7 linked regions of the Canis lupus familiaris genome follow. The protein of the gene in region 6 interacts with the protein of the main gene of each other region in a pairwise test. Links are inferred from orthologs where the notes say so. Each region holds a gene or a part of one and is shown on either strand. Other genes may lie near its edges.

What was found.
Region 1: the proteins of NTAQ1 (region 6) and PNMA1 interact in binary tests that used the Homo sapiens proteins (3 or more experiments, as listed by UniProt). The two-hybrid records come from large-scale screens. The link is inferred for Canis lupus familiaris from reciprocal best matches to the Homo sapiens genes NTAQ1 and PNMA1.
Region 2: the proteins of NTAQ1 (region 6) and ferritin heavy chain interact in a two-hybrid assay, tested with the Homo sapiens proteins (2 studies listed by BioGRID and IntAct). The two-hybrid records come from large-scale screens. The link is inferred for Canis lupus familiaris from reciprocal best matches to the Homo sapiens genes NTAQ1 and FTH1.
Region 3: the proteins of NTAQ1 (region 6) and TRIM27 interact in binary tests that used the Homo sapiens proteins (3 or more experiments, as listed by UniProt). The two-hybrid records come from large-scale screens. The link is inferred for Canis lupus familiaris from reciprocal best matches to the Homo sapiens genes NTAQ1 and TRIM27.
Region 4: the proteins of NTAQ1 (region 6) and SFN interact in binary tests that used the Homo sapiens proteins (3 or more experiments, as listed by UniProt). The two-hybrid records come from large-scale screens. The link is inferred for Canis lupus familiaris from reciprocal best matches to the Homo sapiens genes NTAQ1 and SFN.
Region 5: the proteins of NTAQ1 (region 6) and TSC22D1 interact in binary tests that used the Homo sapiens proteins (3 or more experiments, as listed by UniProt). The two-hybrid records come from large-scale screens. The link is inferred for Canis lupus familiaris from reciprocal best matches to the Homo sapiens genes NTAQ1 and TSC22D1.
Region 7: the proteins of NTAQ1 (region 6) and TLE5 interact in binary tests that used the Homo sapiens proteins (3 or more experiments, as listed by UniProt). The two-hybrid records come from large-scale screens. The link is inferred for Canis lupus familiaris from reciprocal best matches to the Homo sapiens genes NTAQ1 and TLE5.

Annotation. Positions count from the first base shown.
Region 1 is NC_049229.1:47,276,179-47,280,454, forward strand, and holds PNMA1 (paraneoplastic antigen Ma1), read right to left. Parts: upstream 2,883-4,276; 5' UTR 2,629-2,882; coding exon 1,567-2,628; 3' UTR 757-1,566; downstream 1-756.
Region 2 is NC_049239.1:55,066,552-55,071,147, reverse strand, and holds ferritin heavy chain, read right to left. Parts: upstream 2,816-4,596; 5' UTR 2,637-2,815; coding exon 2,523-2,636; intron 1,138-2,522; coding exon 991-1,137; intron 679-990; coding exon 553-678; intron 454-552; coding exon 289-453; intron 288-288; 3' UTR 198-287; downstream 1-197. UniProt on the Homo sapiens protein: Stores iron in a soluble, non-toxic, readily available form. Important for iron homeostasis. Has ferroxidase activity. Iron is taken up in the ferrous form and deposited as ferric hydroxides after oxidation. Also plays a role in delivery of iron to cells.
Region 3 is NC_049256.1:27,401,658-27,405,608, forward strand, and holds part of TRIM27 (zinc finger protein RFP), read right to left. Parts: intron 2,543-3,951; coding exon 2,312-2,542; intron 1-2,311. UniProt on the Homo sapiens protein: E3 ubiquitin-protein ligase that mediates ubiquitination of various substrates and thereby plays a role in diffent processes including proliferation, innate immunity, apoptosis, immune response or autophagy.
Region 4 is NC_049223.1:72,665,143-72,668,760, forward strand, and holds SFN (14-3-3 protein sigma), read right to left. Parts: upstream 1,939-3,618; 5' UTR 1,839-1,938; coding exon 1,092-1,838; 3' UTR 590-1,091; downstream 1-589. UniProt on the Homo sapiens protein: Adapter protein implicated in the regulation of a large spectrum of both general and specialized signaling pathways. Binds to a large number of partners, usually by recognition of a phosphoserine or phosphothreonine motif.
Region 5 is NC_049243.1:6,343,661-6,348,309, reverse strand, and holds the start of TSC22D1 (TSC22 domain family protein 1), read right to left. Parts: upstream 3,181-4,649; 5' UTR 2,881-3,180; coding exon 1-2,880. UniProt on the Homo sapiens protein: Transcriptional repressor. Acts on the C-type natriuretic peptide (CNP) promoter. Acts to promote CASP3-mediated apoptosis.
Region 6 is NC_049234.1:22,155,107-22,159,817, reverse strand, and holds the start of NTAQ1 (protein N-terminal glutamine amidohydrolase), read right to left. Parts: upstream 3,085-4,711; 5' UTR 2,993-3,084; coding exon 2,904-2,992; intron 1-2,903. UniProt on the Homo sapiens protein: Mediates the side-chain deamidation of N-terminal glutamine residues to glutamate, an important step in N-end rule pathway of protein degradation.
Region 7 is NC_049241.1:56,590,288-56,593,607, reverse strand, and holds part of TLE5 (TLE family member 5), read right to left. Parts: intron 2,376-3,320; coding exon 2,312-2,375; intron 1,097-2,311; coding exon 1,052-1,096; intron 557-1,051; coding exon 494-556; intron 1-493. UniProt on the Homo sapiens protein: Transcriptional corepressor. Acts as a dominant repressor towards other family members. Inhibits NF-kappa-B-regulated gene expression. May be required for the initiation and maintenance of the differentiated state.

The sequences.
Region 1 (4,276 bases), on a different chromosome or scaffold from region 6:
TTTTTTAAGCTACAGCTTCATTGTCTTAGTCGAAACAGGATGATTATTTTAAATTCTTTTTTTTTTATTAGCAACTTCAAGTATAACAACTGAAACTGGAATAAGTATTTTCTATTAATAAAAATGAATTTTGACAAAAAAAAAATAAAATGGCTGCTATAAATCAGAAACATTCATTTTAAACAGGTATGAGAAATTATTCCTGTAGTAAAACAAACATTTTTAGCTGAAAAGGGATTTTTTAAAAAATAATCCAGGTTTTTATTTTTTTTATGATAGTCACAGAGAGAGAGATAGAGAGAGGCAGAGACACAGGCAGAGGGAGAAGCAGGCTCCATGCACCAGGAGCCCGACGTGGGATTCGATCCCGGGTCTCCAGGATCCCGCCCTGGGCCAAAGGCAGGCGCCAAACCGCTGCGCCACCCAGGGATCCCTGAAAAGGGATTTGAAAGGGGAGAAAAAGCATTACTAGATAACATCCTGAGCCCCATTTCAGGATTTCCTAACTTTTTATAGTAAGTTAATATTGACTTAGGTCTGTTCAGCCTTCTAATATTTGCCTTGTAGAAAACATGCAAAAATTGAATACATTGAAAGGTTCTGTAATTCAAACTCAAATAGTATGCTATAAGGTTAAAGATACAGTAACTGAAGTTATATTTTTTTTAAGTGACACCAGGAAATCTTCCTAAGAGAATAAATATAGAGCTTAATTACACTGAAATTTTATATATGTGTCAGAAAAAAAAGACAATAGAATTTTTTAAATACTTTTATTCATATACATGTATTTTGACAACTTCAAATTTAGAACACTTAGAATCAGCATGAACAAGAACTACCATTCAATGACAAGGATTTGAAATGGGGGAATAGATACTGTAACTGGTTCTTATTAATCTCCCCATGCAACAAGACACTCCCTGTGTCTTGTACACAGAAAAATTGATTCACACAATTCTAGAATTGCAGTATTTTTCTAACATCCCATTCCATAGTCTCAGAATACTTTTCAATTAAAGTGATCCAGATGTTTCGAGATGAAAAATAAAACAATTTGCTTTGTAAGGCTGAATAAATAGTATGAGTCACATTTCTTTCCATTAATATAAATTAGGGAAAAAACTTAGGAACAATTTACTGTAAACACAAAAACTATTCACAATATTAGTAACAACGGCTCATATTTTTACCGAACACTTCCTGTGTTTGCCAGGCCCCACGCTAAAACATCTGAACATGCAATTTCACAATTATCTCAATGAGAAGTGTCAGGGATTCACATGGTTTTTACAACGGATGATTGCCACAATGACAGCTGGCACTGAGCACTTGTGTACAAGTCTTTACCTGGCATTGCAGCGAGTACGACTCACTTGTAGCAGCTCAGGGTGCTCATTTGCGCGATTGTACTAATGTTACATGAATACTCAGGCCTGACTCCCTACCCCCACCCCCAAAACAGCACATGGCGGAAGTCTTTACCACTAGGGACACATCTGTAAGAGCACGGAGACAAGGTAAGCGGCTGCGATCTAGATGTGCACTGTCGCCGTTTCCTGGGCCTCAGAAGTGCCCCTCCAAGCCTAACTGCAGGAGGGCGGCCTCCGCCTCCTCCTCCTCCTCCTTGGCCTCCTCCTCGCGGATCTGCACCAGCAACTGGAAGAGGTTAGGGGCAGGCCCTTCCGCGGCCCCGGTCAGCCACAGCTGCCTCCGGATGGCCCCGCTGTGGTTGGCCCCGGCAATGACCTGCTCCAGGCGGGCCTGGTTCACGTTATCTTTATCTATGGCCCCCTTCTCCACCACCTTCTGCAGAAGAGGCTCCAGACGAATGACATACGCAGATAACTTTTCTCCCGGGTTCTGGTAAGTGTTCAGAAATCTGACCTGCGCATCCCTAGAGCTCTCGACGCTCCCAAACACCTGCTCAAGCGCCTTCAGGCATTCGGCAGTGGTTATCGCAGGGTTGTTCGTCTTGAGGATGCGGATGACATCAGCGGCGGGGCCCCGAAGACTCTCCATCAACCGCCGCCTCTTTTCTACATCAGACACCTGCCACTCCTCTATGACCTCATTAGTGTGTTCCAGCCAGGGATCAAAGGTCTCCTCCCCAGGCCCCGGGATGTCCCTCCCCGAGAACAGCGTCAACTTCTTGTACCATATGGACTCAACAAGAGGCTGAATAACGTTATCTAAAATATAGTTTAGCATCTCTGCTGGCATATCTGGACCCGGGGCCGGAGTGGGGTTCTGAAACCCAAGGACGCGGGCAACATCTTGCACGGTCCACCCCTCTCTCGCTAGGAAGAGGTGCAACCTTTCTAAAAATTCAGCATCGGAAGTCGGGGGTTTAAAGACCACTTTCCAGACACCTCCTTTACCCGGCATCTCCCTGGGGATCGCGGCGTAATCGACAGCGCCAGTGAGCTCTAACAAGGCTGCTTTCGCATTCTCTTCCCTCCAAAACATCCTCCCAAGCACTCGATAGGGCACCTGGGGCATCGCAGCCTGGAGGGTCTCCTCGATTTCAGCCTCATCACAGTTCACTGGGATCCCCCAGACCAGCAGGGCTCTCTGGGAGTTCACATCCATCCCCCGGCACCAGTCTTCCAACAGCGTCATCGCCATTTCCCCAACTAGCGAGGGCCCCGATTCTACAAAGACGGATTAGGCTGTGGCTCCCTGCGCTCTAGGGCTCAGCGCGGCAGCAGACACCCCCCCACCCCCGTAGGCGCGAGGGAGGCAAGCTTGACGCAATCACAATTAACAAACGACACCAGAGTCCTGCCCTCTTCCTTCGCGGCCCCCAAAGGCAGTCCGCCGGCTGGTCCCCGGAGCCAAGCCCCGGGAGGCTCGGGCAGTCGCCTCACGCGTCCGCCGCCACCGGCGTCCTCAGTCGGGGCCCGCGGCCCGGGTCCCCCACCTGCAGCCGGGGGTCGCGTCCCGTCGCAGCGCAGGAGGCGGGCAGCGAGCGCGGCTGGCGAGGGCTGCGCCGCGGGGCCGGAGGCGCCCGGGTGTGGTCGCGGGGCGTGGCCGCCTCCTCCCGGCAGCCGGGCGCCGGCACTCGGGGCTCCCCTCGGAGGCGATCCCGGCGTCCGCGGCCGGAGCCCGGCCTCCAGTCGGCCGAGGAGCGGCTGCTCTGCAGACGAGGGCTGTGCGGTCCCCGGAGGCAGAGCCTGTTCTGAGGTCGCGGCGGTGGCTGCCACGCCAGCCCGCCAGCGGCTTCTTTGCAGACGCAGGGATGGCTCCGGGCGGTGAGGGCGGCTGAGGACCGAGCACACGGGCGGCGGAGGCGCCGAAGGACGGGGAAGCGGGGCCACAGGCGGCGGCGGCGCGCAGGCTGCGGCGGGCTGCGGCGGTGTGGCGCAGCGGGGCCGCCGGGGTCCCACCGCAGCCCGCGGAGGCGTTACTGCCGCAGTGCGGGGCGGGGCCGGCTGCGGAGCCGCTTCCTCCGCGCCCCGCCCCCGAGCGTAGCCATGGCAACGGCGGCCCGGACTCCCGCCCGCTCCGCGCGCTCCCGGGGTTGGGGCTGGGGGCGGGGTGGGGCGGTTGCAGAGGCGCTGGCCTGACGCTCCGGACACTGCTCTCTTTGGTGGCGCATTTCCTTTTTCACATTTTCCAGTTTTTATTTCATTTCTTAAAAAAGATTTTATTTATTCGTGAGAGACACAGAAAGAGAGGCAGTGACACAGGCAGAGGGAGAAGCAGGCTCCACGCAGGGAGCCCGACGCGGGACTCAATCCTGGCACTCGAGGAGCACACCCTGGGCCGAAGGCAGGCGCCAAACCGCTGAGCCACCCGGGCTGCCCTTTATTTCATTTTTTAAAAAAGATTTTATTTATTCATGAGGGGTGGGCAGAGACAGAGGCGGAGGGAGAAGCAGGTTCCCTGCAGGGAGCCCCATGCGGGGCTCTATCCCAGGACCCCAGGATCCTGACCTGAGCCAAAGGCAGGAGGTCAAACACTGAGCCACCCAGGTGCCCTTAAAAAAAATTTTTTTTTTTTTTTTTAACAAAGCACCTTGTTTAAAAGATAATATAATTCTGGAGTGGAGTTAAGGCTGCAAATGCCTCCGTCACTGGTCTTCCGCTGGGTAGGAAAATACGGTCTTTAGCACCGCAGCTTCCCTGTCCCACCTGATTGCATTCTGCACCCTCCATACATCCCCTCAAACTAACACGTTGGAAGCGTGCCGTGTTCATATTTTTGTGTGAGACACTGAGTTGAGACTTTTTCTTGTCTAAAGTTTTGTAAAAAAAAAAAAAAAAAACCCGTA
Region 2 (4,596 bases), on a different chromosome or scaffold from region 6:
ATAAAACACAAATCCCTCCCTAGGCATGTCATTTTGGTTACTGTGACTGAACTACAACACCTCAGCAGATTTCACAAAGATGACCTACTAAATACATTTCTAGCCCATCCCAAGAACTCAAGAAACAACAGCTGGGTACCAAATTACTTTATTTGAAGGAATGATACAAACGAAAGAAGTAGATGTTTCGGTACAACTTATAGAAAAGGTAAAGGTAACCCCAACATGCATGCACTGCCTCGGTGACCAGGGAAGTCACCCTGCGGCTATGGGAAGACAGCCTAAGGCTTAGCTCTCATTATCACTGTTTCCCAGGGTGTGCTTGTCAAAGAGATACTCTGCCATGCCAGATTCGGGAGCCCCCATCTTGCGCAGGTTGGTTACATGGTCACCCAATTCTTTGATGGATTTCACCTGCTCGTTCAGGTAATGAGTCTCAATGAAGTCACACAACTAGAAGACAGAATGGGGAAGAATGTTAACGGTACACTTTCCCAACCCCTAAAGAGGGAAATGACTCCCTCCATTCTCTCCCAGACTGCCAACACTCACGTGGGGGTCATTTTTATCAGTGGCCAGTTTGTGCAGTTCCAGTAGTGACTGATTCACGCTCTTTTCCAAGTGTAATGCACACTCCATTGCATTCAGCCCATTCTCCCAATCGTCACGGTCTGGTTTCTGAACGAGAGGAGAGGAGGTCAGGTCAATGCACGTACAGCCTCTACCTATTATTGCCCAAGTCAGCAAACACCTAACATGCAATCGTTGTGCTTTGGCAAGAGGGACATCCCAGTTTCTCCCACAATGGTTTCCAACTTAACAGCCTTGTGCCCATTACCGTTCACCTCCTTCAACTTAGAAGATAGGCTTAAAAAAACACAGAAGCCAAAAGTACTTCATTTTATAAGAGCAACTGCTAGCTTGAGGGATTTCTGACACCCAAGGACTTGCCGGATAGATGAGACACAGGATCTAAGATGTTTTGTTCACCTTAATATCCTGAAGGAAGATTCGACCACCTCGTTGGTTCTGCAGCTTCATCAGTTTCTCAGCATGTTCCCTCTCCTCATGAGATTGGTGGAGAAAATATTTGGCAAAGTTCTTCAAAGCCACATCATCGCGATCAAAGTAATAAGACTGAAAAGAGAACACGAACATGTTCTGTTAGGAATTGCCAAGCCTAGCCTTTCTTCCTCAAAGTCCAGCAAGAAAGGAGTCTGCACTGAAGACCGCGGACAGGCTGTGCTCTTGGACAGAACACAACACTAGTCTGTACTCTAAAACACAAAAATGAAACGCAGTCCTGGACATTTAAAGTTTACTGCAAGGAACCTTTAGAATATCATAGGGAATTGCCCCCAGCAGATAAATTCTTAAAGCCCTATATGAGAGCAAACTTCTTCTGGCCAGTGTCGCATTTGATTGGAGAGGGTGTGGGAGTATTTACCCTGTACTCCCTAACTCCCTGATTAAACCCATGTTAAAACATGAGCTTGCCAGCTTACAGCATACTGACGGATCTCTAAGATTAACCCATTAGGCAAGGTGACAACTGCTGGCAACGCTAAGCTGTACAAAGAAACTGCCAGCAGAAAACAGAAAACTTGATTCCGTTTTTAGACACTCGCTGAATCCAGGTGTTCCTGAAATGGAATGGCAGTCGCGGAAATCCAGGCCTATTTTCAAATTCATCTGGAACAGGTCTATTCTTAGATAATTTGCACAATCGTAAGGCAATCCTTTTTCTTTTTTTTTTTCTTTTGCAATCCTAAGGAAAACGCCCACCACACCGCCTAAAACCAGGATTTTGGAAAATGGATTCCATCGATCAGCACGGAAAGTTTCCTTGCCCAGTGACTGTTGGTGTAGTTTATTCTAAAACCAAGGGTTCAGCCACAAAAGGATAAAGTACTAAATGCCCGGGCAAGAGGACGGATGACTAAGACAACCGTGTGCGCAAAAGGGGAGATTTCCCTGCTTCAAGTGGGACTGGGCGATAAGCAGAACAGAGCGGGTAGCGATGGCTGCTCCAGAGTGGTCGGCCCCCGGGAGATAAGCCACTGAGCACCAACCCCCGCCCCCAACGGTTGCTATTCGACACCATTACCCAGCAGGCTCCGCCAGTCGCAGGGAGGACGGGGGCTGGACCACTTCGCCCCCGTCACCCAAGCAAAAGGACAGCCTCGGGGCCACGTGATCGACACGGAGAACAGGATGGAAACGCACACCCCGCTTTCCTAACTGCAGGATTGTGCCGGTTGCAGCTGCCGCAAGTCGGGGATTCCTTGAAACCAGGCTCTCTCTAAATACGAAGCGGCGCGCAGAGGCGGCCCTTGACTAAGAGGGAGCCCTCCCAGGGGGCCGTCAGAAAGGCCGAGCCGGCCAGAGTTTCTGCGCACGTCCTGAGAGGCCTCGAGCAGCGTCCATTTTCCAGCAGGGCGAGCAGGGGCGGGAGGGCCCAAGCGTCAGCCACACCCCCGCCCCGCCCCGCCGCCCGGAGCCCGGAGCCGAGCGGCGCTCACCATGGACAAGTAGACGTAAGACGCGTAGAGCTCCAGGTTGATCTGGCGGTTGATGGCGGCCTCGGAGTCCTGGTGGTAGTTCTGGCGCACCTGCGAGGGGGACGCGGTCGTCATGGCGGAGGCTGAGGAGAGGCGGCGGCGGCGGCGGCTGCGCGGCGCTGGGGCGGCGGCGGCGGAGGCCTCGGGGCGGTCCGAGAGCGCTGCGTGGAGGTGGCCGAGGGCTGGCTCTGAGCGGCGGGCCCGGGGAGGGGAGACGAGCGCCGGGTTCCGTCCAAGCACTGTTGAAGCAGGAAGCCGCGGCGACTCTCGGCGGAGACTGGCGCAGACCGCCGAGGCCCCGCTCTTATAGCGGGATCGGGCGTCACGCCCACTCCAGCCAATCAAGACGCCCGCCCGCGCGCGGAGCCCCGCCTCTTCCGGCGGGCGCGCGACCCCGCCCTGGGGGCGGTGGGGGAGGGGCGGCCCCGCGCGGGCTGAGGCGGCGGGCGTGTGGCCGCGCGCGGGGCGGGGCGGGGCGGGTGTCCTCGGCGTCCCGGCTCCCGCGATGGGGGGGGGCGGGGAAGAAGTGCGGTCGGGGTCGGGCGCGGAGCCCCGGCGCCCGGGGCTGGGAGCCGCCGGCACGTGTCCCCTGAGCCGTCCGGGCGGGCTCCCCGAGACATCCTGCCCCGGGGGCAGGTTAAAAGTCCGGGCGGCGGGGCAGCAGTTACCACACCCGGGGGGATCTCCTCGGGCGTCACCTGGAAAGTGGCAGTGGGAGCCCTAGGAGGTTGCGTCAGTTAGAGGTGGGGCGGGAGGGGCTCGCTCTCCCTTCCTCAGGGTCCGGCCGGGAGCGACACGCGGACGGGCTGGGGTCCCGGGGGCCGTCCCCGACCCTCGCCAACATGGCTCCCGGTGCAGCTTCCCCGACAGAGGCTGGGCGGGCCGTGGTTCCCGGGGAGATGCGGTGAGCGGGCGCCTTCGAGGGGGAGCCGTGAGGGACGAGCCCCCGGGGCTTCTGAGAAGATCCGGGGACGGGTTAGAAAAGGGAGGAGAAGCCACTGGGGATCTGGAGACGGAGCCATCTTGGAACGGCTGCCTTGGCGCACCCGGGTCAGGCCACAGCCGGCTCAAGCTGAGGAGATCTCCCGGGGAGCCACCTCCTGGGGCTGCCCCTGCGGAGCGGCCGGTGGGCACAGTGTCCACGGGACCGGGCAGGGCAGGGCAGGGCCGCCGAGTCCCTTCCTTCCAGGCGCCCGCCCTGTCGGCCGGCTTCCAGCTCCACTGTTCGCCACCAGGTCCTTCCGCACGGCTGGGAGACCTCGCCGAGGCCCTTTGGACGCTCACAAACATGAAACCTTAAGCTGAACTTCGCAACCTCAACAAAAAGAAGGCAGGCTCTAAAATGTTAAAATTCGTTGCTGACGGAATTCTGGTGATCTCTTTCTTGGGTCTCTACTGTTTTCGTTTCGGAATGAACATTTTACCTTCAGGAAAAAAAAATTTTTTTTAGGTCTAAAACTACAAAAATAAAATAAAATAAAATAAGCAGAAGCCTGTGGGAGAGTGTAGACGAGGAGTGCCTTATCCAGTCTGGGATAGAAGGCCAGGGAAGGCTTCCCTAGGAAAGTGACAGTTGAGCTAAGTCTGAAGAAAAAGCTAGAAGGAAGGTAGAGTGGAAGAGAATTCCAAGTGGAGAGAACAGCACACGCAAAGGTGTAAAGATGTGGAAATGTATGGCCTGTCCATGGTACCTCAAGAAAATGTGTTGGCCTTGGAAAGCTACAAGGGTGCTACACGGGCAAGGTCAGGAAAGGGTGGCTCAGAAGTTTAGTGCTACCTTGAGCCCAGGGTGTGATCCTGGAGACCCTGGATCGAGTCCCACGTCGGGCTCCCTGCATGGAGCCTGCTTCTCCCTCTGCCTGGGTCTCGGCCTCTCTCTCTCTCTGTCTGCCTCTCATGAATAAATAAATAAAATAAATAAAATCTTTTTTTTAAAAAAAGGAAGGGTTGTGTGCCATATAAAGGGTTACATTTTATCCTGGGCAATCTGGAGACACTAAGGGATTTCTAACCAGGGAGATACCACATTTCGTTT
Region 3 (3,951 bases), on a different chromosome or scaffold from region 6:
CTAAAAGAGTATTTTCAAAACTTCCCCTTATTCTTTAAAGTGAGTGACTTTCCTGATTCCTGTTCTGCGGCCACAGATGACCCTGCTCTCCCACGTCAAGACAATAAAAGCTACCATGTTTTTGCTACCAAACCTCAACCTGCCTGCATCCCCACCTCCCCCCCACCCTCCTCTCTTCCCAAAGATCTTCCAAAACTACATCCTATACATGTGCTTAGTCCCCTTTCCCTTCCATCTTTTCTGACACAGACATTAGTGATAAGTTCATTAATTTTACAGCTTCAATGACTTTCCTCACCCAGATCCTTACAACAGACTCTCCTCCCACATGATCTCTGACAATATGTTTAGTTTGTTTCTTTAAGCATCCCTTCCCACAAAGTCCCACAATCCCCACCTCTCCTTATGGTCTTACCCCTTAACCCAGACACCCATTCCTACAGTGGTCACACACCCTGCCAGTCACCACTGTCCCTAGGATGGTTCCTTAGGGAAGTGTTAAGTGTTTACTGTGGCACTTCTCTCTGAGGGCATTAGCAATGCCCGTGGCTTTAAACCAAATGCGTGTCAGCCCTTAACTGCATGAGACTCTGCTGTCCACTCCTCCTTCCTGGTCACTTTCTGCTTCTCTGATCAAGTGTTCACTTTGCAAACTCCTCCTTTCCTCCCTGGCAATTAAATACTGGTGGTCATTAAGGCTCAAGGCTAGGCCTTCTTATTAGTCTAAAGCAGGACTCAACAAACTTTTTCTGAAAAGCCAAATAGTACATATTTTGGGTTTTTAACTCTGCTCTGCTGTGGCAGTGGGAAAGTAACAATGCACACAGTATGTACAGGAATCCAAGTGGCTAAGTGCCAATAAAATGCAGACAACAAAGTTTGAGTTTTATAGAATTTCATATACCATGAAATAAAATCTTCAGATTTTCTCCAAACGTTTAAAACTGTAAAAACCAGGGGGCCTTGGGTGGCTAAGTTGGTGAAGTGTCTGACTCTTGATTTTGGCTCAGGTCATGATCTCCGGGTCATGAGACTAAGTCCCACAATAGTTTCTGCACTGAGTATAAAGCCTACTTAAGGTTCTCTCTTCCCAGGACACCTGGGTGGCTCAGCAGTTGAGCCTCAGCCTTCGGCTCAAGGTGTGATCCCAGTCTGGCAATCGAGTCCCGCATCGGGCTCCCTGCGATGCACCTGCTTCTCCCTCTCTCTCTCACTCTCGTGAGTGAATGAATGAATAAATAACATCTTTAAAAAAAATTCTCTCTTCCCCTCTTCCTCCACTCTTCCTATTAAAAAACAAACAAAAAAAAACCCCTCCCAAACTGTAAAAACCACTTAGCCTGAAGGACATACAAAAACAGGTGGTGGAGTGGTTTGCTGACCTGTGCCCTATGCCATCATCCCTTTTAATGGCATTTATGAACACCCATTACACCCACTGTTCTCTTTATTTTTTTTTTTTTTATTTTTTTTTTTTATTTATTTATGATAGTCACAGAGAGAGAGAGAGAGGCAGAGACACAGGCAGAGGGAGAAGCAGGCTCCATGCACCGGGAGCCCGACGTGGGATTCGATCCCGGGTCTCCAGGATCGCGCCCTAGGCCGAAGGCAGGCGCCAAACCGCTGCGCCACCTAGGGATCCCTGCTGTTCTCTTTAGTACCTGACTCTGACATTAGAATATACATTTCAGGACAGCTTTTCACCACTTAATCCCAGTGCCCAGAATACTGCCGGACCCAGAAAAGACAATTCATATGCACTCAATGAACAACAGCACATTTCCTGTGGCCTTGCCAGGTTAGGTCAATGCAGCTTTGTAACTACACCCAGCTTAAATCACAGGGACCGCTTGGGCCAACCACCTGCTCCAGTGCTCAGTTTTGTGGCTGTGCTAATGTACACATATATGTTAAAATTACAGGACATTTCACTGAGTATCTTTACTCAAATCTTTAAATGGCATGTAGGCTGAACCTCCCATTACACCAGGAGTAGATCAGGTCACTGAGGCCCAGAGAGGTCAAGAGTGTGATCAGACCACGTGTGGGTACAGGACAGGCCTAGGCATTAGGTCTTCCTCTTGCCCTTCCCGTGAGACAATGCAACTGACCGATCCAAGTTGTGTCAACTGGAACTTCTGTTATGCATGTTTTCTCTCTGACAAGCCCAGAGAGCTGAGCTAGGGCTTGTTACTCCTAGAGTTGACCGGGGCGGGGAGGGGGAGGTGCTCCATACTGCCTAGCAAAGAGGGAAGGGAGACTTTTTGGCAGGAGCCACGTTGGTGGGACACTCCACACCTCCATGCCTTACCTGCAGGAGCTCCCTGGTGGGCTGCTGCTGCTTCTCTTCTAGCTGGGCAATCAGGCTACTCAAGTGGGAGATGTTGCAGGAGAACTGGGTGATGGCACCGTTGATGCTGTTGTAGATGGCCAAGTCTAGCTCCTCAAGGCGGGCCAGGAGGCGATACTCATGTTCCTTCAAGGAGTGATAGAGCTGCTCAAACTCCCAGACAATCTTCTCCCTCTCCATCTGGGTCAGGCTCTGCGTAGATGACAGGGGAGGGTACTGAAGGACAGAAGGCTCCCTTCTAGAGCCCTTCATGTCTGTCCCTGACTACCTACCCTGAGACCTCATCATCTTGTCCCGGCATGCTAAAACAAGCATCCTGTTCATTCACTCCTGGTCTCAGGCTTTACCGACTAGACACAATGGCTGAGAAGTGAGTTACCCCAGAAATAAGGAATATAGTCACAGGAGAGCCCGGTTCACATGACACATGCAACCACAGGTAGTGAGGACAGGATGGCCTGCAGTGGGAGAAGCTGGTACAGCCTTCACAGAGGCAATGTAACACACACAGTGTGGTTGGAGAAACAGGGGTTCACCATGTGGTCAAAGGGTAGACACGCTTTCCTGGCAGAAGAAACGACGGGAGAGATGGTGAACGATGGTGTCTGGCAAAGCACCTAAGTTTTGAGGGAGAAGCCAGAAGAGGTAAGAGAGAACACACCTTGCCTGGAAGGCCAGGGTGGGGCAAGACTTTCCTGCAACTAGGAGCCGTGAAAGGGAAGTGACTGGGTTCAGATATATGCCATGTGGGGTGGACTAGGACACTCAATCCTCGCATCATGACTGCAACCACGTCACCAAGGCCCTTCCCGTGCGGCCCTCACCCCCTTTCTGGCCACCAGGGCTGTTCATCACCTACCCTCATTGGCTATGGGTGTGGTGCCCTTCTGGAACAGATGTTTGCCAAAACTAGTCTACCCTTCCTTCTCTATCTACCTCCCACTGCCAAAACCCTGAGGCTCTCTGCTAAACAAAGTGTCAGCAAGCTCCCTTTGTTTACTCCTGGGGAATTAAGTTTTCCTGGGGCCCAGCCACACCCATCATTCACATATTATATTATGCTGCCTTCAGCTGTCACGACAGAGTTGAGTAGTTGTGACATAGACTAAGTGGCCCACGGAGTCAAAAATCCTGACTATGTGGCCCTTTACAGATGTTTGTTGACACCTGTCCTGAGCTCCACTCTTCCTGAGAACCTTTCCCATGACCCACTCTTCTCACCACCTTCCTAAGCACTCTCTGTGCAACACACTGAGGAGTGAACACAAACCTATTTCGCATCCTTTTGGTAAGGTCTCACCTCTCCTTACCTAAAGTCTTTCAAAGGCATAAATGACACAGTGCAACCTCAGAAACAGAAAAGTAAAGCTGAAAAAGACCCAGCGCTTCTGGAAGGGGCTGCTCCTGGCACGCTGGTGGGGGGACTCTGCCTGGCAGGGAACTATCCCTTGCATTGCAGGACATTTCAGCAGCTCTGCCCTCCCCTCCCCAGTCACTCAATTCCTCAAGTGACAACTAGAGAAACACCGCCACACCACGGAAGGGAAGGAGACAGCAGTACTAGCCTTGCTAAAAACCCATTTCACAGAGGAGACAGGCCC
Region 4 (3,618 bases), on a different chromosome or scaffold from region 6:
TGGCCCGGCCTGGGCGGGCCTCCGCCCCCCGCGGCCCTGCCCACCCCGCCCGCGGCTCCTCCTCGCCGGACCCTTTCTTTCCGTCCCCGAGTCGGAGCGCTGGGGGCGGGGGCATCCCCTCTCAGATACGGGCTTTTAATGGCGGCGCAAGCCTCTACCCAGATTGTGCTCCCCTCCTCTCAGATCTGAGCACTGGATGGGCCTCTAACTCGCTTTCAAGGCCGGGGTGCTCGCTGCGGCTCACTACAACCTGTCCTTGTCGCTCGGACCTCACACCTGAGAGGCTTTCCTGTCCCCTCAGATCTGGACTCTTCAGCCCCCCGCCCTGCAGCCCTAGAGCAGCCTTAGGGCCGCCTTTGCGCTCCCCCGACCGTCCGGGACCAGACCAGCTTGCTGGGGGCCACCCTGATGGAGAGCTGGACCTCCTGCCCCCCAGCCTCTCACCTGGGGTCACTGGCTCCAGAGTCTTGCCTGTGGGTCCCTGAGCCAGCCCCGTGAGAGGTCAAGGCCCTAAATCAGAAGTCAAGGTCTCTAAATCATAAGCCAGTCCTTGTCCCATCGCTTCGCCAATAACTGGAAGAGACAGGAGGAGTGTCACAGGGGAGCTTTATTGAGAGGAAACAGGGTCACACCCAGCAGACATGCTTTCCCTTTCATCCGGGTCTTGCGCGCTCTCACTCGTGCTCTCACTCGCTCTCGCTCTTTCACACACACACACTCATCTCCAGGCTCTGCCATACAGTCCAGCTCTCAGCCACAAGGGTGGGACACTCCTCAATTCCTAAGATTCAGAGGCAACGGGGGGCAGGAGGGAGGCAGGAGGGGGAGGAAGTGGCCCGGTTGGCGGTGGGGTTTCGGGGAGGGGTGCGGAGAGCAGGGGTGGGCGGGCCCCGACAGCGGCAGGAAGAGCGAGTCCCCCGGCCCTAGCCGGCCTCAGCTCTGCTGCTTCCTCTCCTCGGAGCTCTCGTGAGCAGGAGGCAGAGCATTGGGGTAGGAGGGTCGGGCCTCGCACCCCACACTAGTCCTCTCTGCCACGGGCGGGCGGGGTGCTGGAGAGGGCAGGGCGCGGCGGGGAGGGCGCGGTGGGCGGCTCAGCTCTGGGGTTCCTCGGGAGCCTCGCCCCCCTCTTCCCCGGCGTTGTCGGCGGTCCACAGCGTCAGGTTGTCTCTCAGCAGCTGCATGATGAGGGTGCTGTCTTTGTAGGAGTCCTCGCTGAGGGTGTGCAGGTCAGCCATGGCCTCGTCGAAGGTGGTCTTGGCCAGTGAGATGGCCTCCTCGGGGCTGTTGGCGATCTCGTAGTGGAAGACAGAAAAGTTCAGGGCCAGGCCCAGGCGGATGGGGTTGGTGGGTGGCATCTCCTTCTTGCTGATGTCCATGGCCTCCTGGTAGGCGGACCGGGCTGAGTCAATGATGCGCTTCTTGTCGTCACCAGTGGCCACCTCGGCCAGGTAGCGGTAGTAGTCGCCCTTCATCTTCAGGTAGAAGACTCGACTTTCGGCATCCCCGGCCTCCTTGATGAGGTGGCTGTCCAGCAGGCCCAGCACCGTGTCACACACGCCCCGGAGCTCGGTCTCCACCTTCTCCCGGTACTCTCGCACCTCCGGGCCCTTCTCTTCCGAGCTCTCCTCATTGCCTTTCTGCTCGATACTGGACAGGACCCTCCAGGCAGCCCTCTGGCCCCCCACCACGTTCTTGTAGGCCACCGAGAGCAGGTTTCGCTCTTCGCAGGACAGCTCCTCACCCTTTTCCACGGCGCTCTTCATGAAGGCTGCCATGTCCTCGTAGCGCTCAGCCTGTTCTGCCAACTTGGCCTTCTGGATCAGACTGGCTCTCTCCATGGCTCTGGTGACAGACAGGCGGCGGGCTAACTGGCTGCCTTGAAACCGATGCCGGATTCTGTGCCTCTCCTGCTCTCTGCCTGCCTTTTGGCTGGAAGGTCTGGCCCCAGAGAGGGGTGGGGAGGGACCGAGGGCGGGGCTGGGGCCCGGGACCTGCCTCCCTCTGGTCTTCTCCCCACACCCTTTCCGGCTCTTCCTTAAAGGTAAAAGGCTGGGATGTAGGGTGAGTCATCGGGGCTCAGTCTGCGGGAGAACTCCGCCGGGCGTCGGCCCCACCTGCACAGGACACCTTTCCAAGCTCCAGGCTGCCCCCTCTTGTTCGGTGCTTTGATTCCATGAGTGCCCACCCAGATGCCCCAGTTTCTCAAATCAGATCCTCCTTCATGGTGTTCTTCCAGGGGCCAGGGATGGCTTCAACCAAGTGGCCGCTTCAGCCTGGCTAGAGCGCATGAAGACAGGTGCACCCAGGAGGATGGGGTTCTTAATCCTACCAGGTACATTTTCCACCTTGGTTTGGGTGAGATAATTATGTTTAGGTAGGGCTGTAGTTTCCCAAGCACCTTCACAGCCACGATTGGATTGAATCCTTACTATGTCTCTGTGAGATGGGCCAGACTATGACTTTTACTCCCACTTTAGAGGTGGGAATGCTAAGGCTCAGAGAGGGATGAGATTTGCTCAAGGTCACACAGCTAATAAATCCCCTGTATCCTACTTCCTTTGGCTTCTCTCGTCAAGGCCTCTGACTTGTAAGCTCCAGACTGTATTTAGAAGTGAAATCCAGGCTTCTTCCGGAGTCTACCTGAAATGGTTCTCTCCCTTGGTCATCACCCCCCCTCAGGGTTCCCTCTGAGGTCCCAGAATGCACAGGTGGCATCGTTCAGGGTGCCACTTAATGAGGTATTTAATGAGCGGCCCCTGACGCTCCAGCCCAGCCTTTGTAATTAGTCATCCAGTAGGTTTGTTGGACACCTTCCCCATCACAGCACAATTTTCCCTTTCAAGTTGGTGGCCTGTTACCACTTGTTTGAGGACCTACCCTCTGGCTCTCCACGCCAGGTCACCTACCCCCTCCAAGCCGCCTGCCATCATGTATCAGTGGGGCTCACACAGGGTGGGGGCCCAGCTCTCCTGCCTGACTCAGCCTGCCTTCTGTCAAAGGCTGGGAAGCAGGCCACTTGGGTGCTCAGCCCAATTTGGTTCCCCAAGGGGGACGCTAGCACCTGGAGAGAGAGACAGGACCAAGATAAAGAAGGTGGCGGTGACACATACCATTTTGTTTTATAGGGTAGCAGTACCAGGTGAGTGCTGCCTCCCCCAGTCTGCCTCTCAGAAATTTCCCTGTCCCTTCCCTTTGATTATGGCCCCCCCCTCCTCTGGCCCCTGGTAGAGGACTCAGAGATGGGAGACTTCTCTCTTGCCAACCTTCTGTCCCTATTTGCTGGGATGCTGTTCTCATTCAGCCAGGAGTTTCACCTGAGGTGTTGGCCCTGTGCCTGTGAGGGTGGGTTCCTGCTTATCTGCCCCACCCCTAGCCAAGGCTCAGATGGGGCTCAGGGGTGGGGCTCCCCTCACTGGGATCCAGCCAGCCTAATCTCTGAGCCAGGGCCATTTCACAGGCCTGTCCCTCCCCGGTTCCTCTCCGTGCCTGAATCCCCACCTTCCCCTCCTGGAGGGAGGCTTAGCCCAGAACTCTGAGGCCCAAAGATGAGATCTGCCTTTTTGAAGGAAAAGTAGGAGCATGCCTGGGCAGATACTACAGGTTTTCCAAGGAAGCAGA
Region 5 (4,649 bases), on a different chromosome or scaffold from region 6:
CGTCAGCGGTAGCACCTTCAACGGGAAAAGAGAAGCAGAGGCTGCTAGGCTGCTGCTACTCCCATCTGAAACTGCTGACATTCCCCCACTGTCACCACTGATAGTCTGAGGTAAGCCAACTAAGGAGGGTTCCGCTGGGCGCCTGGCATCTTCAATTTGGCTTCCAATTGCCTGAGCTAATGATTGTGCAGAGAACTGAGTAGAACTTAGTGGGATCTGTTGTGCCAGAGGCAGATTTATATTAGTTGCTATCAAGGGAGGTTGACTAACACTCTGAACCAAATTACCATTTTGAGTGGCAGGGGTTTGTGCTATATTCTGTGGTGGAACCAAGTTTGTTGGGGCAGAAGGCATTCCAGAAGGACCAGCTGAACTAACCTGATTTGTAACAGAAATACTACTAGCAGAGGGCAAAGGACTAACTGCAGGCAACTGCTGCGAAACTTGAGCTACTGATTCTACTCCTTGCGGCTGGGGAGGCACAGTTAACAAGGTACTTTGGGGTGCAAGGACCAATTGTTGAGGAAGGCTCGAAGCACTAGTTTGAACTCCCTGATGAATAATCGCGGTTTGAGCAGGTGAAACTATCTGTGAAGACGGAGGAGCACCTTGCTGAATAACTGAAGGTGTGACTTGGGTAGAGGGCTGCTGCACCGCAGTAGCTATGTTTGCCTGTTGACCAATATTTGCGATTTGACCGCCAGTAGGTACCACAGATCCTGCCGTCTGAGCCTGGCCAACAGGCTGGCCAGAGGCCCCTGCAGGTTGTGCTTGGATTGCGGTGGGCTGCACTGGCAGCTGGATGCTCTGTGGCTGGGCCGTAGGAATCACGGTCGATCCTGCTCCCACGCTCGCAGCACTGGGCTGTCCCGAGGACACCGCTGTTTGGAGCATCGGCGGCGGCGGCTGCTGCTGCACATACTCTGAAGTAGGATTCTGAGTCACCGGTTTACCATGGCCTGGGACCATCTGTGCAGATACAGTCGGTTGCTGTTGTCCATACTGTAACTGTTGGGGTGGTGCCCCTGGAAGGGGAGCTTGCACTGGAGGAGCCGGCTGAGAATATGGCAGTTGGGGTTGAGCCAAACTGGAAATGGAAGGCTGCTGACCTAAAGCTGAAGTTACACCAACCACATTCACAGGTGATGGCTGGATACCCGTCGCGGTACTGAGAGTGGCTTGCAGAGGGACAGGCTGAAGACCTGGCTTTTGATAGCTCAGTTCTTGCGACTGCAACTGTACTTGTGTGATCTGTGACTGAGAAATACTCTGTGGTATACTGACTGCTGAAATACTCTGAGGACCAGAGCTACTGAAATCCATCTGTTGAAGAGCCATACCTTGAAGAGTTGGCTGCTGCTGCTGCTGCTGCTGCACCACCACAGTAGGGGCTCCCATCTCTCCACTTCCCACACTCTCTGTGTAGTGACTCAGTGTGCTGACACTACTGCTCACTGAACTCCCACTAGTGCTCTCCCTCTCAGAAGTCACTTCTGGGTTTTGTTTTACAGTTTCCACCACTTTATTCATCGCCACACCTTCTGCAGCAGGTGCGGCGTTTTCTTTCTCATAGAACTCGGTGCAAGTCCATCTACCTTTCTTAAAAGGTTCAGAACTAGAATCTAACTTCACAACTCTGAACCTCGACGTGTTAACTGTCGGTGGCTGCTGCTGACTGGAAACTGATCCCACAGTCATCCCTGCAGCTGCATTAGGGGCGCTGTTAACAACAGCGGAGGAAGAAATAGAACCATTGCCCATGCCACTCAAGATATTCACATTCACACCGCTGCTAACTCCAGGCCCGACACTCGCACTAGCAGCACTAGGGATATTGCTCGCATTTATACTGGCATTACTAAGCATGCTGCTTGTCACGCTAGGATTAAAAGTACCCACAGCAGTGATGTTAACATTATTCACCGTAGTAGCGCCAGTAACAGAACTTATACCTATACTGCCGGTAGTACTTGGAGCTCGGATATTAGTCATTACGGATGCAGGTGAGCCTCCCGATGATACAGCAGAAGTCGGTGCAGCTGGTGCAACGCTGTCGGCGCTTCCAGGGGCAGAGAGTTTTCTGGATCCCGGGCTGGAGGGTGGCCCTCCGGGAATGGGTGGACTGGCCACGCCGGCATGGGATGGATGGTGGTGCCCGTGGTGGAGGTGGTGCCCGTGATGAATGTGATGGTGGTGATGGAGGTGGTGAGGATGAGCGTTCCCATTGATCACAACGTTCTGGGGGGGAAGGTGGGGCAGATGAGGCTGCGGGAGGTGGGGCTGGTTGGGAGACACTGCCCCAGGTGTCTCGGCTTCCTGGAAGTTATTCAGAGTCTCTTCTGAGGAGCTGCGCTCAGGCTCCCCCAAGTCGGTCGCCCTGGAAAGTGACACATCGAGGATCTCGGAGGAAGACAGATCCTCCGTGTGGGACTCGTCCAGGTCGTCGTAGCTCTCCGTGTCCTCGGCGATGCTGTTGTTGGAGCTGATGCTGGCGGAGATCTGAGCCGGGGTGACGCTGGTTATCTGGAAGCCACTTTTCTTTTTCATCTGAGTCCCGCCCGGCGCGAGGGGCTGTGCCTGCAGCTGAGCCTGCGAGAGGAGGTTCAGGCTTTGTGGAGGCGGAGGCTGCGGCCCCGACGTGGAGGATGCGGCGGGGGGAGGCGGCTGGAGCAGCGACGGAGGCGGAAAATCCTCGGAAGATGTGACACTACTACCGACGCCGGTACCTGCCGCGCTGAGCGCAGAGGCGCCGCCGCCGCCGCCGCCGCCGCCGCCGCCGCTGCCCCTTCGAGGGAACATCGCCGGGTGCGCCATCTTCCTAGCGCTAATGTCTGCAGCGGCCGCGGCCGCCGCGGCGGTGGACTCGGGCGGCTGGTGCATTGTGTCGGGGGCCGGGGGGGCGGAGGAGGCGAGTGCAATTTCCTTCTTCTGCACCGTAATCTTTGTATTCGAGACGCCGGGGAAGAAAACGGGACCTGACGCTCCGCCCGGCGCGGGTCCGGGTCCTCCTCCTCCTCCTCCTCCTCCTCCTCCTCAGCAGAAGGCGCCGGCCGCTCCTGCCTTCGAGGGCGAGCTTCGGGAAGGGAGGATGAACGAGGGTGAACGGGGCGGCCCGAGAGGTGGGGGAGCGGGGGGGACCCCTTCAGTCCTCCGCCATTCACTTTCCCCTCTAGTCTCACACCCCCCTCTCTAGTCCGCCTTCACGTGGGGTGCGGGGCAGGAGGGAGGGGGCAGGGGAGGGTGGGGGTGGGGTGGGGTGGGGTGGGGTGGGGGGGAGACGAGGGGGAGGAGGAGGTGGGGAAGCCGAGAAATGCCCACCTTCTCCGGCCGACTCGGGGGCACCGCAGCCCCTGCGGCGGCGGCCGCTGCAAGAGCCTCCCGGGCGCCGTGCACCGGCCGAGGCGGCGCGGAGCGGGGGCCGCCGTCCCCTCGCCGCCCCCGAGCCCCGAGCCCCGAGCTCAGGGTCGCTCAAGCCTGTCCCCTCCCGGCCCCGCCGGCCCCGCTCGGCCCTCCCCGCCCGCGCCCCGCGGACCCTTTCAAACCCCCTGGGCTCGCGGCGGCTGTTCCGTGAGCAGACGCTGGCCGCGGCCGGGGCCGGGGCGGCGAGGCTCGGAGCGGGGCGGCGGGGCGCCCGGTACGGTGAGCCCAGCAACGGGGCGCGGGCGGGCGCGCAGGGACGCCGGGTCCTCGCGGAGCACGGCCGGGGCGCGGCGGCGGCGGCGGCGGGAGCGCAGGGACCGCTCCATCACTGGCAGCCATGGAGCCCGAGCATTTTCCTCCCTCGGGGCAGGCGCCTCGGCTCGGCACGCGTCCTCGGGGAGGAAGGGGCCGGCGCCCGGGCCTCCCCGGGGGGCGGCGGCGGGCTGCGAGCCGCTCGGCTCCTCGTCCTCGTCCCCGTCCTCGTCCTCGTCCTCGCGGGCGGCTCCTTCCTCGGCGGCGCTGGGGGCCAGACGGGCTGGTGCAAGCGACTGCAGCCGACGCCGTTCAAAGGAACGGGAGGTGGGGTTGGCCGGTGTCGGCGAGTGGGTGGGTGCGGAGGGCGGGCGGGCGGGGAGGGGGCCGTGGTGGTTGTTACTAGTGCTCTCCTCCGGCTCCGCCGCGTCCCCCAGTCTCTCGCGGCAGCGGGAGAGGAGGGACCAGCGCCCGAGCGCAGGAGGAGGAGGAGGACGAGGAGGAGGAGGGGCGACCGCCGGCGAGAGGAGGAGGAGGCGGCGGCGGCGGCAGGGGGGAGGGGGAGGGGGCAGGCGAAGGAGACGGAGGAAGATGGCGTCTGCGCATGCGCCCCGGCGCCGCAGACAGAAAGCCGGGTCCGGCGGAGGAGGCGGCGGCGGGGCCTCGGGCCTCGCCGAGCGCCGGAAATTGCCGAAGGCTGGCGGAGGCGCCGAGGCCGCGGAGAGAGGGGAGGGGAGGGGAAGGGAGGGGAGGGGCGCTTCGGGCGGGGGAGCGGATCCGGGTCGGGCTGCGCGGCTCGGCCCGAGTGGGGGCGGGGCGCGGGGCGCGCGCGCGCAGGTTAGGTGTGTCCGCTCTGTTCTCGCTCGCGGCCGGTGCGCGTGCGCGGGCGCGGGAGCGGGCGCGGGCGGGCGCGCGGCAGGGGAGGGGGAGGGGGCGGGGCGGGGCCCGGGAGTGCGCGCCCCGGGGAGGGGGTGGGT
Region 6 (4,711 bases):
CAGCTGGGTCTGAACAGATAAATAACATCTGACAGAAGCTAAAAGACACAGAGAGGAGGCACTTATTCCAAGTTATAAAAACCTGCAGGAGCAAACATAATAAGGTACACTATCTGATAGATTAAGACAAGATAGAACAGTGGTTCTTAACTGAGGCAATTTTGCCCCCCAGGGAACATTTGGCACTATCTGGTGACGTTTTTGCTCGTCACAAATTGGGGCAGGGTGCTACAGGCTTCTAGTGAGTGGAGGCCAGGGATGCTGCTACATAGCCTACAATGCACAGAACAGCCCTCCACAACATTAGCACGTTCCACATGTCAATAAAGCCATGGGTGAGAAACCCTGGGTTAGGGCATAGAAGGCAGGCTCAAAATAAGATTGCAGAAACACAAGTGACCAGATCTCTGAATATGCTCAGGAGACAGACTTTACTGTTTATGCCTATATTCCTGAAAACGTGATCAATGGACGAGTGTAAGACTCCTCCACTGTACTGTTTACACACCAAGACTCTCTGGAGTAGAACCCTAAGATCTGCACACTTTACAAGCTCCCAAGTGATTCTATGGCTCATTTGAATTTAGAACGACTTTTAGCAGTGTGAAGCCAGTTAAGGTTTAGGACCTGAGGGAATAGGAAACAGATCTGGGCAGAGTCCTATAAGGAAGGGCTGGAACAGGCCCCTGACAGCCGAGGAGGGCTCAGCCCACAGCTGAAGGAACTTAATTAAGGGAGGCCATCTATTGAAGAGATATCCATTCCGACCATTCTTCCAGCAGACCACTGCACTCTCGCTGTACGAGCCACCTTGTTCCTAGAATACTCCTGCACACTTCGTTCTCAGAGCCTTTGCACCACTGCTCCCCTGCCTGGGATGATTTTCCTCCAATATCCACAAAGCTCCCACCGGTTTTTTTTTCTTCAGATCTCTGCTCAAATACCACTTTACCAACAACGCCTTCCCTAAATATCCATTATAAAAGTGAGTCACCATCCCTTACCTTTATTTTTTCATAGCACTTAACACCAAACATGGTTTTACGTGGTTTTGCCTGCTTTCCCTGAACCAAAATATTAAGAACCATAAGATCTTAACTAGGGAATCTATTTTCTGCTGTCTCCCAAGTGCCCACAATTGTAATATCACACAGTCCACATGCCTAATAAACATCAGATGAACAAGTAAAATAATGAATGGGTGCTAGGGACAAAAACTAATAGGATTTAGGTGAGAGGTAAGGCAGTACTAAAGTACAGTCTTTAAGAATCATGGACTCCTGTACTACAGTTCCAATTTCAGCCCTGCCTCTTGCTACACGTGTGACCTTGGACATGGCTTGTCTGTGGCTCATTCTTTTCGTTAATAAAATGAGGTAAATGACAGAACCTATCTCGGAGCCATGGATGGAAACACTTGACACTAGCCCTGACATGCAGTCAGAGCGGAACAGATGTAAATTGGTGACATGGTTTGACCGCCAGCTAAAGGAGGAAAAGGTAGTTTTAGATGGGCCTAAGGTTTCTTTTGCAACTGAAAGTTGGGGAAGAAGTCATTAATTACTCAAGTGTACGAGCGAAAAAGACAGAGGTAGGAGTGGTGATTTGGTCACACAGGTGGCCTAGGCCAAGGGGATAGTGTGTGGACTCCAGAGCCAAACCCTGCAGGTAAATCCCCATTTCTTCACTTACTAGACAGGATGGCCTTATGCAAATTAGTTGCACCCTCTGTGCTTCGATGTTCTCATCTTTAAAACGGGGGTAACAATAACACCTACCCCCGCTCAAATGAATTGGTTTACATAAGCCAATCAAAACAGTGTTTGGGGGGATCCCTGGGTGGCTCAGCGGTTTAGTGCCTGCCTTTGGCCCAGGGCGCGATCCCGAAGTTCCGGGATCAAGCCCCACGTCGGGCTCCCTGCATGGAGCCTGCTTCTCCCTCTGCCTATGTCTCTGCCTCTCTCTCTATGTCTATCATGAATAAATAAATAAATCTTTAAAAAAAAAAAAAAAAAGGGATCCCTGGGTGGCGCAGCGGTTTGGCGCCTGCCTTTGGCCCGGGGCGGATCCTGGAGACCCGGGATTGAGTCCCACGTCGGGGTCCCGGTGCATGGAGCCTGCTTCTCCCTCTGCCTGTGTCTCTGCCTCTCTCTCTCTCTGTGACTATCATAAATAAATAAAATTTTTTAAAAAATTAAAAAAAAAAAAGTGTTTGGGGGGGCACCTGGGTGGCTCAGTGGTTGTTGCCGGGAGTTCTGGGATCCATCCATCGAGTCCCACATCGGGCCCGCAGGGAGCCTGCCCCCCCCCCCGAATAAATAAGATCTTAAAAAAAACAAACAAACAAGTGGCATACAGCAAGTGCTATGTAAATACAATGGGCACGATCAGGACAACATGGTGGTTAAGCTCATGGTTTCTGGTACAAGAAGGCCTGAATTGGATTCCTGGCTGCTATTAGCCGATGACCTTGGAAAGTTACTGCAAAATCTCCGCTCTCCCATTCTCTTCCTAAAATTAAAATGACCTTTCACATCAGTGGGGAAACCACAAAGGCTTCAGCAGGATAATCCGCAACGGTTCTCTGCGCTCCACCCTCCGCCTCCAACTCCCCTTTCCTGGCCCCCAGGCACTGAGATCTGCCGACAAAAGTCCAAGCGAAAGGCTTCGGGCATTAGTAATGCACCACCGAGCCCACCCCCTGGGAATCCGCCCCCGCCCCGTGCCTGCGCTCCTCTCAAGGGCCGAGGGCTGCCATTCCCGCTCCCTCAGCCCCCACGCGGGAACCTCGCCGGACGAGACCCAGAGCGCCCCCAGGGAGGGGCCGGGAAGAGGCGGGGCCCGGCCGCGACGCCGAGACCGCGGGAGCCGGGATGCCGGGGGCTGCGCCCGCGCCCCCTCACCAGTAGCAGCTGTTGTAGACGCAGGCGTCCCGCGGGGGGCTGGCCGGCTGGTAGCGGGCGGCGGCGGCGGCGGGGACATCCCCCTCCATGGCGGGCTGGCTGGGGCCCGGGCACGGCCTGAGGCGAAGCGACTGCACCAGCCCCGCGGGCAGGCTTCGGGGGAGGAGCCGGCGTTCGGCGCGCGGCGCGGGCCTCCCGGGCGGAGCCTGAGGCGGGGGTGCAGTTCCCTCCCGGGCGGTGGAGCCAGGGACCCGGCGGGCGGAGCCTGGGTGGAGCGAGCGACGCAGCTTCCGGGCGCGCGCCGCCAGGGAGGGCGGTGCCAGTTCCGGGTGGACGGAGCCGGGGGCCGCGCGGGCTCCGGCGGTTCCGGTGGGCGGGGCCTGGAGGGAAGCGCCGAGCGGGTTCCGGGAGCGTGGAGGCCGGGCCAAGTGGGCGGATCCAGGGCGGCGAACGGCGTGGGTCTCCAGTGGGCGGGGCCTGGGGCGAGGAGGATGACGTAATTCCTGGGGGCGGGGCCTGGGGCGGAGCTGGGCGGCTGGGGCGGGGCCGGGCGTGCCCCGCGAGACTGAGGTCAGCGTGGAGAGGGCAGAGGTCACCCGCAGGTCGCTCGGAGGAGTGGGGGCAGAGCGTGGGGTTGGTCAACCGCCCAACCCTAAATGGCGCTTCGGGGATCTCCCGGAGGCGTCGGAGGCCCTCTTCCAGCCCGGGTCTGGGGTTGCCAACAGCCGTGGAGGAACCAGAAGAGACGCCAAATGAGAGAACCTTGTATGTAAAAAACGGAGCTTTAGCAGTTTTTTCCTAGAGGCCGCGGGAGCGCAGGGGCAGGGGGGACCGAATTCCAAATACGTCCGGGGCCAGCCACCCCGAAGCTCACCGCGCTGTGACAAGTTTTTATTAGAATTGTGTACGTTGACCCAGAAAAATATAGTGATTCTTGGTAAAGTTTTTAAAAGTTTAAAAGGAGTCCTCATGGCATTCATTTCGTGTTAATCATATTTTTATTTGCCAGCAGCCTGGAAGGAAAGACCCCAAATTATTAAAACGGTATTTATCTTTGATGAATGAATGATATGAAGGACTCTCACTTTATACTTAATAGCCTTCTGAATTGTCTTAGACTAGTAATGAGCATGCATAACTCATCAGGGTACTTCCCATGATAAAAACTTAAATTCTTAGTCTGTTCATAGGCTATCTGCAGTCAGGCTTTCCCAATGTCAGGAGTTCGAAAGCCCATATGTAAATCCTAAACACTTTGAGCATATGTCGTTGTGTCAGTTATCAAGGCATTGCCTCTCAGCTCTGAACACACTTCGACATAGGCTCTGTGATAAATAGCAATTACTTTGAGCATTTCTCCTTCAAAGCGGGCACCAAGTTAAGCCTTCTGAGTAAAGTATGCTGGAGGAAGAAGCTCCTTGCAGTTTCTAGAGCAGTACAAGAGTTGGGAGTGTGATCCTGAGTACATCCTGTGGGGTCTGCCCCAGCCACAGGTTCAAACCCAGTTCCTCTGTGACCTTACAGCCCAAATTTGGCAATAACCTTCCTACAGCCCTCTTAACCCAGAAACCAGAGTCCTGTGAAGCCTGCAGGCAGCCACTTGCCCATACTTCTTTGGCAAACCCTTCAATGGCCTGTGCACAGTTGCCTGTGGCCAACAGGGTCACACGCTGAGCAGTCATTCCCTCACCAAGCCTCCCCCTCCTCCATCAACCCCACCATTCCTTCTTAGACATTCTGAGAGCTTTCTACTCTAGCTGGCTAGACCCCTAAGGCATCCCCCTGACACTGATTGATGATTGCTCCCT
Region 7 (3,320 bases), on a different chromosome or scaffold from region 6:
AGACCTGTGTCTGCAGGTGCGCGTGCGAGCCTCATCTATCTGTGTTGAGCCCGTGCACGCCTGCCTCTGTGTGCACGTGTGTGTGCAAGTGCCCTCCCCGAACATGCGGCCCCTGGTTTCTGGCCTGAGGCGGCCCCCAGGGGCCTGGCACACAGATCTCAGAAGGGAAAAAGGCAGAAGCAAGAAAGGGAAAAAAAAGATCCTTGGTGCAGCCTTTGGCATATCTGACGTCTTCACCCACGAAATGACTCACTCAGGCTGGGAATTCCACAGCAGGGTGAGGCCCCTCCCTGTACTGCCCTGTGCCCCTGGGGTTCCTCCGATCTGCGGATCTTCTGTGTCTGGGAGGTCCAGAGAGGGGAGGCGTGTGCCCTGGGCACCCAGCAGCTGCTGCCCCAGAGGGCCGTGGGCGGGGGTCGGGGTGGGGGGAGGCCCGGGCAAGTTCATGGCCCAACCACCTCCTCCTCCCTTCAGCCCCGGGGGTGCCACTCACCTCTTGGGAAAGGTAGGGTAGGACCTGGGCACAAATCCCATTCAGCCTCTTGACGATCTCGGCCTGCAACACACAGAGGCTTCAGTGCAGGGGAGGCGGCGGGGAGGCGGCAGGGGCAGGTGCAGACCAGCCCCAGTAGCTGGCGGGGTTCCGGCTGAGAGGAGCCCAACTGGGCCCCGGGTCGCATCAGCACCTCAAGCCTATGGGCACCCAGTCGGAGGCAAAGGTGGGCTCTGGGGCCAACCGGGAGTCCAGGCTCGGGGACTGGGTGGCCCTGGGAAGATGCCACCCAGCATGGGGGAGAGGGTGGCCCACAGCACAGTTCTTAGGACATCCCTGATATTGGCCGACCTCAGGGGGCCGGAGGGCGAGGGGCAGTCTGGGGGTTCTCAGTGTGCTGGCGTGTCACCCCCTCCCACAGGAGTCAGCCGGGTGGGGGTGGTAGTTTGGGGGAGGCCGGAGAAAGAACAGGGAGAGGGGTGTGGAAGGTAACAGGATAGGGGGGTAGACCTGGGGGTCACCAAGGGGCGGGCCCACCTGCCTGGGGTGGTGGCCTACCTGCTTGTGCATCTCGATGTTCAAGCCGTAGGACATCTCGTAGTACTGCGTGGTGGGGAGACAGAGAGAGAAATGGGGTGGGCCAAGGATGGGACGCACAGTGTGGGAGGACGAGGGCAGGTGGGGCGCGCATGCGGGAGCAGGGTCTTGGCCCCTCATGGGGCCACTTGCGGGGAGCTGGGGAAGCGTCAGGGCCCCAGCCTGGCCCCAGCCTGGCCCCAGCCTGGCCGGGCTCCCCTGGCTTCTGGAGTAATTATCCAGCCCCCTCTCCAGCACACATACATTCCAGGGCGCCTAATCTTTTATCTTTATGTGTCTTGTCTGCGGGTGGCCCCAGACTCCAGGGAAGTTGGCCTTCCTGGGTATAAATAACCAGGATAAACAAAGCCTGCTGGGTCTGGCTCTGGGGTCAGCAGCACCCCCCTCACGCCCCAGATCTGACCCTGCCTCCTCCCCTCCTCTAAACCCCCTCATGGCTCCCCATCATCCCTGGGGGTGGGGCAGGGGCAGCCAAGTTCATCCCCAGGACTTTCCGTGGTTTCTTCTTCTCTGTCCAGCAAGCTCCTACTCATTCTTCAAGACCCGAGCTGCAGTGCCCCCGCTTGGGGCAGTGAGCCCCCCCTGGGGAATCCCCCAGTCCCCCATAGCTCTCTCTCGCCCCCTCCCTATCCCTCCAGGGCCAGGAGGGTCAGTGCCCAGCCAAGCCTGGGAGAGCTGGGCTCTGGGCTGGGCCAAGGAGGGGGGCTTTTAGATGTAGGGACTGCCACCTGGCGGGGATGGATCCAGGCAGGATCTCAAATGTCAGGCAAAGAATGTAGTGTCACCCCTTCCCTCCCCCTCCCAGGATGTCAGCTTCCTGCCCGCGGCGGCTGCCCCCCCCCTCCTGCTGAAGCTCAGGCAGGGAGGGGTTAACTGCCCGGCCTGTGGGGGCAGGGAGGGATCCGGCCGCTCCCCCAGTCAGTTCCTGGCTTTGGCTTCCACGGCAGCGGCCTCCTCTGCTGCCAAGGACAGCCGGGGGACCTGGCAGGCCCGGGCTGCAACCCGGTGGTTTGGCACCTGGGCCACTGGCTGGGCGGGCGGCCAGGCCAGCGAGGCGGCCTGGGCCAGGCCCTGGGGCCGGCTGAATGGAGCGCGGACCCCGATCCTCGTCCATCCCAAGGAGGTGGCCGGGTGCAGGCAGCTGCCAGGGCGGGTGGAGGAGGGTCCAGGGTCACCCCGCGCCCCCCTGCCCTGCCCGCCGCCCAGGGCCAGCTTACTTACCATCACATAATGACGCTGCATCTCGGACTTCTCGCTGGCCAGCTTGTCACATTCGAGCTTCAGGCTGGAAAAGAACAAGATGGGGGGGTGGGGGTGGACTGAGCCCCCTGTTGTGCAGGGAGAAGGCCGTGTCCCCCTCTGTGAAGATGGCGCGGGGAGGGGAGGGGACGTGTGTGCCCTCAGGCTCTCTAAGTGTAAACCGGGGATCCTGCAATCAGCCTTGTGGCTCTGGTGGCGGAGAGAGTAACGGGGAATAACACAGATAAGCAGAGTCGAGCAAACAGCAAACACGCCGGGTCAGCCAGGGACTCCGAGAAACTTCTCTGCACTCCAGACGCTTGATGAGATCAGTGATACGAGCGTCATCCTCATTTCACAGATGATGCAACGGATGCCCAGAGAGGTTGAGTAACTCGCTCAAGGTCACACAGCCCCGGAAAGCTGGCTTCAGAGGCCACAGTCGGAGCCACTGGGGAAAACTGTCCAGCCGGGGACGAAGGACCAGAAGCCACAGCGGCTGGAGAGGGCGGAGGGCGGGCTGGCGGGGCCCTGGGCCCAGCTCACCGAGGGGTATCCGAGGGGGCCTGGCCTTGATTTCACCAGCGGGGAAGAGTCCACTGTTGGGTAACAGATGGCGAGCCGCTGGCCTCTCTCAGGCCCCCGCCGCAGGGACGGGCTCTGGGCACCTCCCAAAGCACCCCCCCCGCCCCAAGGGGGAGGGCAGAGAGAGACCTAGAAAGCCGCGGGCGCAGACCCCAGCTACATGCGGTGGCTTCAGGGTTCAGGCCCGCCACCTCGCTGCTGTGTGGCTCTAGGCAAACCCCTCTACCTCTCTGGGCCTTGTCTCTGCATCTGTAGGGACTGACCTCCCAGGGTGGGGGTGCTGAGAAAAGGAAGTGGATGAAGACCAGAGAAGCTTCTAGAACAGCGCCTGGTATACAGGAAGCACCTGATACATGCTTGACCTTCTGGTCAGTCATCCCAGGGGCCTGGCATCTTCGCTTCACCA